Linked DNA regions of Oreochromis niloticus. The protein of the gene in region 2 purifies or fractionates together with the protein of the main gene of each other region. This does not show direct contact. Links are inferred from orthologs where the notes say so. Each region holds a gene or a part of one and is shown on either strand. Other genes may lie near its edges.

Region 1 (3,754 bases), on a different chromosome or scaffold from region 2:
TAACTTTGTGATGAGATGGCATGACAATATCAGGCGATATTTTAACCTTTTAGTATGAGCTAGTTCAAGGCAGTATACAGTTTCCTCTCTGGTCAAGGCAATTTTGAAATCGTAGTGGCTAAATTTGTGCAAGCATACTGCAGTGTTGCAACATTTCATAGTTTCCCACAGTCCTCTTGTGAACACGCATAAGAATAGTTGGTATCTCCTCACAATACACGTTCTGCAGTTAAATAATGGCTGGACATTATTTGCTTTCCAGTGATATTTGAAGCCCAAAAATATCCTACAGTAAGGCCAAACAATGATGTAATTTATGGAGTTAGATAGAGGGAAATCCCCATCTGCCTGTGTTTCCAAATGCTTCCCAGAAGTGGGAACTAAGATAATTGGAGTTGGTTAAATGTAGGAGGATACTGAAAAAAGATGTTGATGAGTACGAGCAAGCTAAAATGGCTTGTAAAACGAGAGATTTCTGGTTACCACTAAGTCCTACAAAAACAGCAACCACCTTTAGTCATTAGGTTTAATTACAGTAAGCTCTGCAGGGATGTGAACTCTAAAATAAACATCCTGACTTACACGTGTTTTTTTTAAGAAGTTCATACGAGCTACTAAAGGCATTTACATGTTTGGATTTACGGTTTCAACCACGAATGAATTTAGGTTTTATTGTAAGTCTAATGGGGTTAGTAATCTTCATATTTTACACAGTAACAAGATACAGTCCGAAATTACAGTAATAAAGTTAGTTAATAACTTGTTTAGCTTTACGTTTGGGCCATTAAAAGGTTCAGACTTTCCCGACTTAAAAGGCAAATGTGTTATAACTACAGGCGAGTCTGAAAGTACTTCTTTATTAACCACATCGCTTTTGAGTTTCAGCTCTTTTGTGGCTGCTTGCTCTGCAGTGAACTGATCTTTGCCCTGCACGCACAACATACGGCACTGCGTCAGCCAATAGGAAAGAGACTCATTTACTGTACGTAATACGTAGCCTAATGCTGCTAGCCCGGTAGCTGGTTTGCTAACAGGAAAGAAGATGGATTCTCCCATACTGGTAATGTTAGCCCATTTATTTATTTCTGACGATGTAAAAGCCACGAGCGTTACCTCGTTAGTACTTCACATAAGTATTTACTAGCAAAATGTTTCTCGCAGTTTTGTGTTGTAGAGTCATTTAGAGAGCAGTCGAATAAACTCAATGCTAACTACAGTGAACGGGTTGGCCGTGTTAGCTAAGGAGCTAGCATCTAAAGTTAGCTCGTATGCGTTTGTTGATGATGTGGAACTGTCATGTCTCCTTCACGATTTGGTGATTAAGAAGTCTTTTAAATAACATTTAGACTGATTTTGTGACGCCAGTCGACACCCAATTTATTCAACTTACTTGCACGTCCACCGTCGCCTTTTTGATAGTTCATGTTTATTATTTAACATACGAGTTGCCACATATTTAAAGAATTATTAAGGTGAATTCGTTCCTGTGTAGGATAAAACAATGCCTAACGTGTGCTGTCTTCACAGGAACCTTCCTTATACACGGTGAAAGCTGTTCTCATTCTGGACAACGATGGAGACCGGCTTTACGCCAAGGTATGAATTTCAGACATCTGTGACATCATGTTACTTCGTTATTATTAACGCCGGTGACATGCCAAAAAGTGATCTTCTGCGAAACTGTGAATACTGGACAAAAATCATTGCTGATATTTAAACGCTTGTAAATTAATTATTGGCCTATAATCTGTCAAACTCTTGTGAATGGTATCAAGTCATTTTAAGCCTGAAAGAAAATTGTCGTCACAAGGTAATTTACCTGTGGTCAAAATGTACTATTTTCACTACAGGCTGTTTACCAAAGTAAGCAATGATATTAAACATTAAAAAAACACCGGAAGTCACTGTTTGACACAACAGGTCTCTGGAGCCAGAGCATGTCTGGAGGTGGTCACCCCCTGCCTGAAATATGATTGCTCCCCCACCAATGATATTGGACTACAGTACTGTTAATCTTGCAGTGCCCAATACCGTGGAAGCATGTATAGAAGCAGTAGTAATGTAACATTTACTTGAGTACTTTAGTTTAGGGTTTAAAGTATTTGTACTTAATTTAAGCATTGCTCTATCATGCTACTGCTCTTACGCTAATAAATTTTGGATGCAATTATTAGAATTTCTACCCTTTATTTTTTAAGCTTTAGTTTGTAATTGTTTTGCAGGTTAATTGCATTATTATAGATCAAGTGGTACTGCAATATATAGGTAATTAAAATCAATAGCTTGAACATTAAAGAGATACATATGAATGTCAATGGATCCATAATTATGATCCAGTGGTACAGATATAGTACTGTTAATGATTTTGAAAAGTGCTATTCAACATAATGAATATGCTTACTTTATGTTTTATGAATATATTTTTATTATACAGTTCATGCAGTATAAGCTACTTAATTATTATTATAAGTTTTACTTTATAAAAAGTCTAAATACTTTTTTTCACGTTGCGAAAGGATTATCCAACACAAAGGTATAATTAAAGTTTTGCACAGCACTACTTTATCCATAATAATTATGTTACAGGACACAGGGTTGCACATTAGCCTGAAAGTCACCCAATGTTTTGGGGGGTTTTTTGCCAATTTTCTGCACTAATTTTAATTCTGATTAAATATTCTGAGTTTGTGCAGAGGGGCCCACAGGAACTTGAAGAAAAATCATAGAAACACTCTTGCTCTGAAGTTAATTTTCAGTTAATAAACCTCTTTTTGCCACCCAAAAACCCCCCACCAAAAAAACAAAAACACTCTGCCTGATTCTGTAAATGCTCACATAGCTACATTAAACACAAAATTCAACCCATAACAAATGCTGTATTTTTTCCTGATTAAAAATTATGTGCTCAAACAGCTCCCAGTTACTTTAGAAAAGTGTAAACCTTTAAAATGTGTATGACTCACTATTGTCTCGTTTTCTCATTTTGGGTTGATTGTTTGCAAGAAAATGACATCCTCTACCATCATCTAATAATACAAATGAAAACTAGTGAAAATTATGTAACCTTTAGACTAATATCTAAATATGACTTAATTTCTAATTTCTGCAGTATTATGATGACACATACCCAACAGTGAAGGAGCAGAAGGCATTTGAGAAGAACATATTCAACAAAACACACAGAACAGACAGTAAGCAATCTTTACACTGTTAAAAACAGTTACTTTGCCTCAATACATACCTAATATCGAGCATGGTTGTTTTTTGTGCCTCTTTAGGTGAAATAGCACTACTTGAAGGCCTCACTGTTGTCTACAAGAGCAATATAGACCTCTTCTTTTACGTGATTGGAAGTTCACATGAAAATGAGGTAAGTTTAATTTTAGTTTTTGTAATGAACCCTTTTTAAGTAGGAGTTGAAACTTGCTTATGTTGTGCTGAGGAAAGTGACAGCACATGCCGAATATGGATCCTGCCTCATCATCCAGTCTGTGAGAGCCTGAGAAATGGTGTGAATCACAGTACATGAGCAAGTTTTGACTAGTATTGTTTTGCACTTGGAACATTATAATTGCACTAAACCACATAAGAAGTTTTCACAAGTAAAGTCCAGAAAATGCCAGGTGAGGCCTGTGAAAAAGCTGCCCGTTCTCACACGTGGCAGACAACTGGAAATAAACAGAGTCATTTGGTTCCTCATTACTTGAAACATTTCTAAAACCACGCATGGAAAAAATGTCTTAATTAACAAACA
Region 2 (3,754 bases):
AATATCTAAAAGTGTTGCTGCCACCAGCATCTTGCTTACACGTGCATTTAAATTAAATAAAAAATGCTGTCTGCTCAAACTGTCTGCTTAAAATGTTGCACCTCGTCTATAAGCTATCAAACCCATTATTTTCCATAAACTAAAATATTTCATACTGCACTCCTCCACCGATGCAAATAAAGAAGTCTGTATATTTTTAACTAAATGATCAAAATATTAACATACTAATTAATGTCAAATATAAGTGAATATTATTATGTTAATATTAGCCAAATAAAACATGCTAGTGCAAGGCAATTTTCTTCTTCTATATCTTTAACAATTTAATAATTATCTCCAGTAACTAATCTTCTGTCTGGCCATTAATCCCACAGCCCAAAGTTTAATTGGATAACTCTTTATTGTCCATGCACAGTCACACCTACTACGATAGTACAACAAAACAGGAAGTTGGAAATTGATTGTATGTGTGAACGTTGTCTGTCTGTGTGTGTGTTAGCCCTGTGACAGACATATCCAGGGTGCAGGGTACCCTAACCCATCATAGCTGGAATAAGTTCCAGCCAGTCGTGGAACTGGATAAGCAGAAGAATGGATTGTTGGAGTAAATGTTTACTTTTCTTTCTTTAATGATAATAATAGAAAAAAAAAACAGAATTCAACATGTTTGGAACTTAAACTTAAAAGAAAAAAATAAATTCCATAATATATCTGCAACATGTTAGTACATTTCTCACATGCTTGACAGCTTACTTATCGGTAGTTCGGTGCCCACCCCACCTCCACCCCCCGTCATGTGATAAATGCCCAATGAGAATATTTATGTTTACAATTAAGTTTTAAAATGTAACATAAAGAAATTAAGGACAACAAAGAGAAAAGCCTAATTGTATCATATGTTGCATTAGATGGGATGAATTTGGTGTTTTTGACGATGATGGTGGAGAGCACTGCCTGCACTATGAGGACTGTAGCATATAATTCTTTTTTTATACGACCCCCCCGTGTGCTCTGTGGGTGAAGGCGTTTTCATCCCGGAGACCAGTCCCCTCAGACGTGAAATGCTATCACTCAGAACTACTCTGACAATCTCTCTGGATAATATTTATGTGTTTGCCAGGTTATTGATACGCTGATAAACGTTAAAAGTAATCGCGTGAAGGTAATTTGTGGTCAGTACCGCACAGAAGTCTAAAGAAGAAAGAAACGCCGGTGGAAGTAATCTGAGTAACTTCTTTATGCAACAAGGCCAACATTTTGGGGCCCACGTCATTGGTTTCCACGGTGGGCTGATCCAGCGCGGCTCTTCCGGTGGAGACGTGGCTCTGTGCTGCTGCCATATTGACGCTAACTAGCTAACAATCACACAACTAGAAGTCAGCTGTATATTCGCACCTTGCCATTCCAGAGGGACGAGGAATCACCAAAGCAAGAAACGCGAGAGACTGACGACCGTCGTGCCGTAGAGAGAGACCACAATGGTGAGTGACAGTCGAAAGTGACCATTATTTCCCTGCCTTTTATCGGGCCTAGCAACTATCATAACATTGGCTAGTAGCTAAAGCTAGGTATGAGAAAACTAGCTTCTTCCCTTTCATGAACGAAAGAAGACAAATAATAAACGGTTCTTTTTTTATCGGAGCCACAGTGTTAGCGACATGTTCAGGTGCTAAAATCGAGTAAATGAGTCGTCAAAGTCGAATTTCACCGGAGTGAAGCGCTTTAGCTGTGCAGTCCGTGCTGACGTGAACTAGCTTTGGAGGCTAGCGCTAGTTGTCTCCTGTCAGTAGCCGGATCCGTGCAACCACTGCCTGCTGTCAGACTGTAATAAGCCAGGTTAAACCGAGCCCGGCTCTGCGACAAACCCCAACTATAGGTACAACTGTGTTATTATAGTTAGCTAGTGTCGACGACTTCGATAACCAAAGTTGCTGCTCGTCTTTATCGAGTTCACATCGGTGCGATCGGGTCTTCCATTTCTATTGTCAACGTGGAATCAGTGCAGTTCCTTCATTCATTTAGCACAGCCACATAAAGCGTCCGTTTATGTCAACCATTGTTATACTCATTATATTAAACGACCCCCGATTCTTTTATAAGATCATTTTCCATTGTGCTAACATCTGCACTAGCTGTCGTTGGCCTTACCAAGGACCAGCTCAAAGTATCTGTGAGCTTTAGCATAGTTTTGCTTCATTCCAAGCAAAACGTGTATTCTAACCAAAACCTAACTTTCTGGTTCCCACATTCAACATACATGGCGTATCTTCTCTCATACTGTCTTCTTGCACCAAGTCTGAAACTGGTAGGAGGCTTTGAAGGGTGTGAGTACATTTGGAGTGAATTGCTCGCTTTATAGGTAAAAGATGAAGATTGTTGAGATTTGTTCAAGGCTTTTAACTGTCCCAGCCCCTTAAAGTGAAACCTGAAGAAGCTGGACTTGTAAGATTCGCTCACCTAAGAGAAAGGCAAACAGCAGTTAGTTCATGTGCTTTTAGTAACGTCCTCAAACAACTACAGCCGTGTGTAATCAGGAGAGCACCAATATATCAAATGACAAGTACTCTTGTCTGGTTTTTCTGACTTCACTGTATCGGCTAAGTATCAGAATCAGCTGATATTGACCTAACTGAGTGTAGGCCACATCAGGTTAGCATTGGATAATGGCTGACTTAGACTTCTACAGTGGATCTTTGAAGAGCCAACGATGTAACCTATGTAAGTGGCCACTGTTATCAGCATTTGTGTGCTGGTGCATTATGTGTTAATTACATTGTGCTCGTTTCTTGGGTTTTATATGTGGTGTCAGCTATGACGAAAACAAATAAGACTTTTTGCTCCTGAGTCTCCACTCCTCAATGTGGTTTTCCACTTCTTTGTACATTTCCTCGTGTTCACTCTGATAGTTTCATCAATCTTCCTCCTGTAATTTGGTGAAATGTGTGTTCTTATTTACTATGATTATTATTCCTTATATGTAGATGATGATTGATATTCTCTAAATCAAAGACTACAGCAAAAAGTAGCACAAATTCACAGGAAGGATCAGTGGTATTGAACAATCACAGTTGTTTCTGGTTGTGTCAACGTAACGTGTTGTTGCATTTTTAGACAGGAGCACGTCAGGTTAAGATGTAGGGTTTCCAAGTAGTTTGCAGTCACAGTGTACCTATGTTGTAGATTTCCTGCTGATGAATGAATCCTCAGCAAGTGTGATGAAGATCTGTTTTTTGGTTGTTTTGTTTTTTTCTTGTTTCTTTGGAATAGAAAAGAAAATTTTACATTAAAAAAAAAATATTGAATTTTGACATTCGCTGACCTTCCTGTTGTTGTTATGAGCATAGATGTTGGTCCGATTAGTGCATCTTTAGTTGTAATAGTTCAGGTCTGTGGGAAACTAAAGCAGTCAAATTCCTCTTTACCCCTCAGGTGCTGTTGGCAGCGGCGGTGTGCACCAAGGCCGGCAAGGCCATCGTATCGCGGCAGTTTGTGGAAATGACCCGGACACGAATTGAGGGTCTCCTAGCTGCATTTCCTAAACTGATGAACACGGGCAAGCAGCACACCTTTGTGGAAACAGACAGCGTTCGCTATGTGTACCAGCCACTGGAGAAGCTCTACATGGTCCTTATCACCACCAAGAACAGCAACATCCTGGAGGACCTGGAGACACTCAGACTCTTTTCCCGTGTGGTAAGCACACACAGGCAGGTTTGGATAGAAGTCAGTTTGCAAAGAGCATTTATGTATGTGT

The links. The genes of interacting proteins can lie anywhere in the genome.
Region 1: the proteins of arcn1b (region 2) and copz1 fractionate together in Homo sapiens (co-fractionation; 5 studies listed by BioGRID and IntAct, with this or other methods). This does not show direct contact. The link is inferred for Oreochromis niloticus from reciprocal best matches to the Homo sapiens genes ARCN1 and COPZ1.

Annotation. Positions count from the first base shown.
Region 1 is NC_031984.2:19,116,533-19,120,286, reverse strand, and holds the start of copz1 (coatomer subunit zeta-1), read left to right. Parts: upstream 1-904; 5' UTR 905-1,042; coding exon 1,043-1,060; intron 1,061-1,527; coding exon 1,528-1,596; intron 1,597-3,109; coding exon 3,110-3,191; intron 3,192-3,278; coding exon 3,279-3,370; intron 3,371-3,754. UniProt on the Homo sapiens protein: The coatomer is a cytosolic protein complex that binds to dilysine motifs and reversibly associates with Golgi non-clathrin-coated vesicles, which further mediate biosynthetic protein transport from the ER, via the Golgi up to the trans Golgi network.
Region 2 is NC_031979.2:1,083,000-1,086,753, reverse strand, and holds the start of arcn1b (archain 1b), read left to right. Parts: upstream 1-1,076; 5' UTR 1,077-1,478; coding exon 1,479-1,481; intron 1,482-3,429; coding exon 3,430-3,693; intron 3,694-3,754. UniProt on the Homo sapiens protein: Component of the coatomer, a cytosolic protein complex that binds to dilysine motifs and reversibly associates with Golgi non-clathrin-coated vesicles, which further mediate biosynthetic protein transport from the ER, via the Golgi up to the trans Golgi network.